2 linked regions of the Oryzias latipes genome follow. The main gene of each other region encodes a partner of the protein of the gene in region 2 in a complex. Links are inferred from orthologs where the notes say so. Each region holds a gene or a part of one and is shown on either strand. Other genes may lie near its edges.

Region 1 (4,251 bases), on a different chromosome or scaffold from region 2:
CGCTCCTCCCGGCTCTGCAGGGCTCGGCAAACGTGTTGCAGGCTGAACAGCTCCTCCAGCAGCTGCAGACTCCCCTCCCTCACCTCCCCTTCCTCCCCTTCCTCCTCCTCTCTGCTCCATGTGCCCTCCTGAAGGCCACTCACTAATTTGCACAAACTGGAGAGCTGTGAATGCCAGTAGGGGGCGCTCTGCCATTCGTGTCTAATCTAGAAGGGAAAAAGGAGAAACATTGTCGTCAAAAAAACAGGACTTTCATGTGACCACATTTTCATTTTGGACACTTTTAATAGCCTCTTTGATTAAACATCCTTCAGTTCTCCTCCTCATCTCTGGATTTTACAGCAGAGAAAGTGTGAAAGCTGACATAAAACGTTCCCCAGAACTCAGGACATTCACAGATGTTTTTAGAGATGCTAACATCTTGCAAATGTTTAGTAAAACATAGTTGGTCATTATAAAGTGTTTCTCATTGCAACCTTTAAGATACATTAAATAAATCTGAGCTCCATCCATTCGTTTAAACTGAATTCATGAGGACTTTTTCCTGTCTGCCTCTAAATGTGCCCAGAAGAAGAGGGTCAGACTATGTGACGTGGTTAACCCCTTTATATGTCACTGACTTACCATTACATCCAGGACTTTAATTCATTTGGCAGCATCTCAAATTTACAATATTGTTTGTATACAATTGGAAATAAAGTCAGGCGGGAAGAGATTAAATGAAGATCTGAGTGGATGAGTCCGCAAACATCACATCCCTTATTTAAGAGCAGCGAGTGACATAGAGGTTCATGGAAAAAAATGGAAATAGTGTATTGAATATAAGCTCAAGCCCCTCTAAACCCCTCAAATTTCAAGTGAAAAAGACTATTTAAAGGCAGCAGTCGTACAGGTGTGTTTCAACAGAAGAGTGGCAGAGCTCTTTTACTTGGCCTCAAACTTTGTAGGGAGGGACAGTCGTGTTTTCAGTTTGACAATAAAAAAGGTTCAGCAATGTAAAGGTCTGTGCTGTATAGTAAAGAAGGTCTTGAAGTCGGCGTCATTTTCCCGTAAACTTCCTCTCCTGGATGTGAGACACCAACAGATGTGTGAGTTGATGTGCTGCTGTCCTCTGTGATCCTCCTCTCCAGAGTCTGCAGCACCTTTTGTTGCAATCGTGCTCATTACTTCTGACCAAACATTAGCAGCGATGAGGCACGGTTTGACACCATCATGCTTCATTTTTCATTCCTTAGTAAGGAAAGGAGGTTCAGCTGGAACCCAACACTAGCAACCGTCTCCCTGCCTTTTAGTGCTCCGATGGCAGAGAAAGTCTGGAAATGGTTCCTCTGTCTCCTCAAAGAGGACATCAGCGATTGGAGTGATCATTTTTGTTGTATAAGAAATAGACCACGGTCATTTTAAGCCTACATATGTTCATATTTTCCTGATGTAGTTGCAGACAGAACCTGTACCTTAGAGGTGAGGAGACTGCTGATGAGCTCCTGCGCAAGGGCTTCCTGGTTCTGTTCAGCAACTGCAAAACCAAAAAAGAAAAAAGACGGGCGAACGTTCGGGTTAGATGTGACACAAATAACTCTATCAGTTTGAATCTGCCGTGTGCTGCCAGGTGGTTAAATGAGAACTGTAGCATGTCTCTACGTGTTTAACAAGGGGAAAGCCCACATTTGTTATCGGTGGCAAGTTATGAGTGACAAACTTTTTCTATTTGAGTCTCTATTAATTCTAAAGTTGACACTCATGTAACTGAGAAACCGAAAGGACTTGAAGTTGAAAATTCCAAAAACAGCTGGAGTTAAGTTCAAAGACAAATATTCTTTAAACCATAATTTTCCATATTCATTTTATTGCTTATAACATTTAAAATGCAAAAAGTAATGCCACAAAGCTTCTGTTCCAAGTTACAGTCTATAATGACGATTTAAGATTTACATGAACTAAAACATTAAAAAAAGCTTCTTTTTTATCCTTGATTATTTCCAGCTATGCAAAAAAAAGTAATTAATGTTTTGTATGTTCATGTAGATGCTAAATTAAGGTAATCTGAAGTGGTTATTGTGTTTGCATCAACAAGCGTCAAATGGAAAAGCCTTCATTGGTCTAAAGCGTAAAAACAAAACGACCCATCTGTTGGATTTTGGTGGTTATCGGTCTTGGTATTTTTACATGGAAGCATAAAGTTAATTGATGTCATGAACTAAAATTTGCAAAAAAAGGAAAAAGCAAACATCCCTCACTGCATCTTTGTAGTTGAGTTATTAAAGTCTTGAGTCTAACTTGTTGCTTTAAAGAGCAGTTGTGTTTAAATGGGTGAGCCCTCCTTCCGTCCTCACATCAACCCTGACCCATCTGAAACTACATTTTCTAGATTTAAATTTTACTTTTATTATATTACATTCTTGTTGGCTTGCATTAATGCATATTTCAGCAGATCTAAGATCCTCCTGGATTAGAACAGACATGGGAACAAAGGCAGGGGAAACACCTGTTGCATGCAGCAAGTAAAAAAGTCTACCTTTTTTTTTTTGGGGGGGGGGGGGGGGGGGGGGGGGATAAAAGATCTCTGTACTTACCCGTGCAGAGTGTGCCGCATGTGAAACAGAGAAGGAGCATGCATGCCACCTGCAGCTGCATCATCGAGGGAAATAAAAGAAAGCCAACAAAAAGAAAAACGTTTTGCACTGAAGAGTTGTAAGAATTTAGGCCATAAGGTTCAGAATTTGGGAGCTGAAAAGGTTGGAGGCATGCAGATTCCAGTTGCCGAGCCTCCTTTTTGGTATTTTCTTTCTTCTTGTCCAAGAAGGTTGTTGTGGTTTCCAGGTTGGATGTGAAGTGCGGTGGGCTCCATTCCCTGGGTTTATAAGAGCCAATGTGATGTCAGAGGATCGTTCTCCTCACCCCCACACGCTCCCGTCTCCTCTCTCATCTCCATCTCCACCTTCCCACCCACCTCCATGCCCCCCCCTCCTTTCCTTGCCTCAGTCTCTATCATCTTTTCCATCCCATCATGGTGTCACCGTCCCATCAGACGTCACTCTGGCATCATGAAACCAAGGGTTTTTGCGTCATGGTTTGGTACATTTGGTTATCTCCCCGTGAAAGCATGGAGCGTGAGGTTTGCAGTGCATTTGTGTCCAATTGTTGTGTAGCATGGAGGATGTGGGAGGCTGCACAAATCCCACTTAGTGTTTCTGTTTCTGTTTGGGGGAAGAAAAATACTGTTGGTTTTTTTTTTGCAAATGATGTGTCTGCAGCTCAGCTAGTAGTTTGGTGATCTGGAAGACTAAATCAATGTTTGTGAGAGATTTTAGTGCAACAGGACAAAGAATTCTGTTCAGATGTGTTATTCCAAAAACAGTGTTTTTAAAACCAAGCCAAATTTGTGGTTATTCCACTTTAAGGAAAAGAAATTCATCATGTTTGATATCAACTTGTTTAATAAAAGCTTTTGCTGTCAAGTTTGATTTCTGCAATAAGAGGCAACATTTCCTATTCTACCATTTAGAAACATACAAAATAGTAAGAACAATCCCCAAAAATGATCTTTTTTATTTTGTTGGGCTAAAACTTGCCTTAAAGTGACTATAACATGGTGTCATGTTGTTTACTTTTTGCTAAATAAGTGACTGAAAAGGCACTTTCTGGAATATCTTTGTGCATGTAATGACAATTAAAGCTACGTTACGTTGATTTTGAAAGACGTCACACAATACTGAAGGTGGAAGTGATTCAACCGAAACATGTTAGCTATGTTGACAAACAAACTATCTAAGAAAAAAGAACATAAGAACTCAGTTCAATTTGTAGACACAATGAACTTTACTGAATGAATACATTTGGTAGTTCATTGTATTTTATTTAAAAAATAAATGTAAGAGAAATGTCAGAAAACAGCTTGAGTCAAAGCAGAAAATCAAATGTAAGCAAATCTATTGATAATATTTTTTTATGTTACAAATGATCATTTTTGTCCTGAAAAAAACACTGATTTTATTTAGGTAAATTAAAATATAAAGAAAAGTTTTTTGTTCTTTTGTACCTTATTTTTTAAAACCTTCATGTGTCGTAAAGATAAATGATAAACCATTTATTTATCTTTATTTTGACATTTCCAGAAATAAATATGTAAATCAGAAGGAACAGCAGCCCCTTAAACCCAAAAACAGATATTTTTTAACATTTTTATAATCATTGATTTTTCCATATTTGTCATCATTTGGCTGTTTTTGTTGCCCATAAGCACTTAGTTTG
Region 2 (4,386 bases):
TTAACTGTGCACGACAGCTCACGTTCCATTGTCTATTTGTCCTTGAAACCTTATTTTTCTGTTCACATTCTAACAATAAGAACACCGTGAAACCATTTGGGTTTTCACCGTGGGACTCAAAAACGGGGATTCATTGCGGTCTTTTTTTTTTTTAAACAAATGGAAGCTAAAGGTGTGGTCAGACAAAAGAAAAACCTAATAAATGAAATTCAGAGAACAAACAGAACTTGATCTCTTTTTGATGTGAGGAATGGTTCCCAGGAGAACTAGTTTAAAGACCAACTCCAATGAAAATCAAGTTTTTGGTGTTTTAAGCACCATCTTGTACCATTTTTCTGATTATGGAGGACACAATATAGAGTATTACTTTAATCAAATCATTGGGAATCAGTCGCAGGCGAAAAAAATGCAGGTTGAAAAACCTTTAGCTGCGATGTAGGAGCAACATTGGGCAGATCTCCATTCGGATGCATCCATTTGCAGCTAACTAGATCCATGTAGGTCTTTGTTTTCCTCTTATGAGCTGGCATCTGGCCTAAAACTGTACGGCTGGATAGCTTTGAAGTTGCTCACCATTTTTGTCCCCATGGTAATGTTATATTGGGAGTGTGAGGGGCTGTAAGCTAGCAGGAGAGCAAGTAAGCAGAGAGCTCTTCGCAACGGGGAGGGGGTCCACACCTACAGTCCTGCCCCCAACTCCTGCCACTCTGCGAAAACAATGTCCTAAAAAAAACAGTTTTTTTTAATTTGTCTAAAAACAGCATAATCACAATTAAAGACCCACTGGTAATGCTTTGAAAATAGATTAAAAGATGATCGGAGTGGGACTTTAAATGGATCAGAAGCGGCACAGAGCATGCAGGCGCTCAAAGCATCAATACTTGTACAATAAACTGTTCCAGTGTCAGATTTGGTAACCTACCTGGCATCAATCACCATTTGAAACAAATGGTCTTGAATTTACCTTGTAAACTTTTCCAAACATTTTCAAACCAACATGTTGTTTCCTGTGTGTTAAAATTTTCCATTTAAGCAAATGGGTTTCCATTTACGAAACATCTGATTTAAAGTAGAACGCCAAAGAAATGTCAAGGTTTATTTTTGTAAAAGGCTGAAACAGAATCCTTCTCTTTTTATGAGCTGAAAACCTTTACCTTTGTCGCACATAAAGTCTCACAAGAGCGTTATGTTATTTCTGATGTGCTGTACTTGTGGCATTTTTCTGATGATGGACGACATCTATAGAAGAAAATTAAGCTAAAAAATCAACATTTATTTTTTTCAAATCAGAGTGAATCAGGAGCAGAAGAAAAAAAAACAATTTGTAAAAGAGCTTATTTGTGTCCTAGAAAAAACACTGAGTAGGCCACAAGCTCCCTCTTAGCTCTCAGCAACAGGGAGGGGAAGAGGGGACGGGGTTGCTCCTCATCAACAGTCCCTCCCACAACTCCTGCTGCTCTGCAGAAATTATGTCCTAAAAAAAGACAGTTTTTTTTAAATTTATTTAGGCTAAAAATGGCACAGTCAAATTTAAAATAGCACTGGGAACGCTTTGAAATTGTTTAAAGTTTGAAAGGAAATTTTCTTTAGGTTTCATCTTAAAGGAATAAAGAGATCTGTAGAGAACCAAATCTTCATTTTGGTTTCCATGAAAGATGAATCACTGAATGAGAACAAAGCCAATTCCACGAAGTTTAGGCTACTCATGTCTCAGAAAAAAACAAAAACCATCTATTATTAACAGAAAAAACATTTTCCCGTGTTTCTGCACTCAAAAATGTGGCAAAATGTAAACTGTTTCATATTTCATTACCTAAAAGTCTGAAAGTGAAGCTGGAGGGTTTAAGTGTATTTCTGGTTAATGAATCCATGTTTTATTAAACTCATAGATGTATTTTAAATAGTTTGGAGAAACTCTGCTTCTCCATCTTCTCTTTTTGAGGGTATGAATGCGCGCAGATGGGAGCAGCCGTGCGTAAAGGCTGGCTCGGGTGTTCCAGGGCGCGCTCATCTTTGGGATGGTTCCTTTATTTCTTACGGTTAAATGAGATGCTTACCTGGAGAACGGTCTTCATGGTCCCATGAGGCACGATGGTGGTGCAGATCTCTTCGTCTTTACTTATAGTTTGACCCATGATGAAGAGCATGGGTGTGGAGAGCGCGAAAGACGCGAGCCACATGGCGCTGATCAGCTTCTTGGTTCGGCTCCGGGACATGATGCTCTTGGCTTTGAACGGGTGGCAGATGGCCATGTAGCGCTCCACGCTCAGGCTGGCGATGTTGAGCGCCGTTGCGTACGAGCAGCTGTCCCGCAGGAAGAAGTAGCCCCTGCACACGGCGTCCCCAAACACCCACGGGTGGTGGACCCAGATGAAGTTGTAGATCTCGATGGGCATGGAAATTATGAGAATGAGCAGGTCCGACACGGCGAGGCTTGCCAGGTGGTAGTGCACGGTGCTCTGGAGGTTCTGGAGGCTCTTCTTGGACAGCAGGGTGTAAAGCGTTATGGAGTTTCCGAGAGAGCCGACAGCGAACAGGGCCACGTAAATGACGGTGACGACCACCTTGGAGTAGATGTCCGTGTTCACGTCCAGTTCCTCCTTCCCTGCTTTAGCAGTGTGGTTCTCCAACACGGATATGTTCCCCAAAAGTCTCTTGGCCAGCGCGCTGAAGCCGAACAAGCTGCGCTCCGACAGCGAGGAGTTCACATCCATCTTTCTTGGTTCACGCACAGACCATGAGCGCGCGGTTTGTGGGAATTCAAACCGGGAGCGGACCTTTCACTTTAGCAGTGTAGGACCTGTCTGTCTGTCTGTCGGTGGAGGTTGGAGGAGAGCCGGCTTTTATACTTGGCACAACTGGAGGCGTGAGAGCAGCTCCCGCTGCCGCGGTGACGCGCGCGCACGGAGGGCGAGAGGAGCCTCTGACTCACGAGACTCCTGACATTTTACTGAATTTGGAGAGGAATTGTTTTAATTAATAATGTTGAATAATGAATAATGTTGAATTTTGCTATTATAACTGACACAGTTTATATATAAAAGCGTTTGTTATACTCCACAAAGATTCCCTGAAGAAGAAATAGTTCTTATTTGATAAGTTTGATAACAGATATGCTACCTGCAAAGGTACATTAAAACCAAAATGAGCACAAAGACAAAAGGTCTGACATTAGGAAACATCTGGATAAAAAGGCCTTTCTGGAAATCACTTGACATCTGGAGTTAAACAGACTGAACAAAATGAGAGTAACAGTCAAACACGGAGGTGGGGCCATGGTGATAAGGGTTCGGTTACTGCTTGTCACTATTTAATCAGCCCTGGCATCAAAGGGTTAGCTGGGCCCACCCATTCACGTATTATACACACGCCCCAAGGACAAGGCTGCCACCATATTGTTTCATTTTTTTACTTTATATTGTTATTTCTATAAGATTGCCAAAAATGGACATTAGTTCTTGGCCAAAATAAAAAAAAGAGAAAGTACAGAATGCACAAACAGAAGTTAAAATACTGAATCTACTTCAGCACCAGCAAGGCAAGTGCAGCTAAGCGCTGTGGCAACGAGCATGTTAGCTCCGCCTCTCCACTCCACTGTCCACCACCGAATCCAGAACAGACTTTCACCTACAGCCTCTGCTGCAGGGTCTGCCTTTCCCGAATTGGATTGCTCAGCCACGAGCGAGTTTGTAGACGACGTGGACAGCCCTCAATCTTTGTGTACCAAGCCTCGCCATGACTCGACTGTCCACCACTGTATGGCAGCAGAAGCATTAAGATTCAGCCTGATCAAGTGAGCATAAAATCTGATCCAGCGTAGTATTTCTATATTTTCTATATCTGGAAAGAAATGCAATTTCTCTAGTTTATGGTGCTAAAACAGACCCTGGTTATAATACTCGGTAAAAACTGTTGTGCTGTCTTAGATGACCCCACCCTTCCATTGACGTGTTCTCCTTACCATGACAAAGGTGGATAATGGTGGAAAGATTTCATGTAATCCATGGACACCAGTGAAGATCACAAATCATTGAAGAAAAAAGGTTCAGAGCACAGTCTAGTGGGTCTGGATGACCCAACTCCCAATGTAAAAGTGCCTAGGATAACACAAGGGTTAAAAGCTATCTGATGAGACACTGAACATTAGTTCTTGTTTAAGTTGTAAAGTCTCACATATTTTCTGTTTTTTCCTTTACCATCTCTCTGTCAACACTGATGCTACGTTCACACCGACCTCTGCTACGAGGCTTCAAGCGACCACATCCACTGAAAAGTCTATGTCAGTGCGCGTATATGCACGTTTCGGGCTTTTCTGCATTTAAACTCTTTTTCGTTTTTAGTCCATTTTCAGGCTCAACATTCAGAACACTCATCAAATGAAAATGT

What was found.
Region 1: the proteins of ntsr1 (region 2) and uncharacterized protein LOC101157195 are in contact, whole or in part, in a crystal structure (PDB 4BUO), measured with the Rattus norvegicus proteins. The link is inferred for Oryzias latipes from reciprocal best matches to the Homo sapiens genes NTSR1 and NTS. Residues at the interface, in NP_001102437.1 of Rattus norvegicus: Ser53, Asp54, Leu55, Asp56, Asn58, Phe128, His132, His133, Tyr146, Met208, Val224, Cys225, Thr226, Pro227, Ile238, Arg327, Arg328, Phe331, Cys332, Tyr333, Ile334, Ser335, Asp336, Trp339, Phe344, Tyr347, His348, Tyr351; in NP_001095851.1 of Rattus norvegicus: Arg157, Arg158, Pro159, Tyr160, Ile161, Leu162.

The regions. Positions count from the first base shown.
Region 1 is NC_019864.2:1,846,315-1,850,565, forward strand, and holds the start of uncharacterized protein LOC101157195, read right to left. Parts: upstream 2,901-4,251; 5' UTR 2,638-2,900; coding exon 2,574-2,637; intron 1,517-2,573; coding exon 1,455-1,516; intron 207-1,454; coding exon 1-206. UniProt on the Homo sapiens protein: Neurotensin may play an endocrine or paracrine role in the regulation of fat metabolism. It causes contraction of smooth muscle.
Region 2 is NC_019865.2:5,560,292-5,564,677, reverse strand, and holds the start of ntsr1 (neurotensin receptor type 1), read right to left. Parts: upstream 2,870-4,386; 5' UTR 2,715-2,869; coding exon 2,058-2,714; intron 1-2,057. UniProt on the Homo sapiens protein: G-protein coupled receptor for the tridecapeptide neurotensin (NTS). Signaling is effected via G proteins that activate a phosphatidylinositol-calcium second messenger system.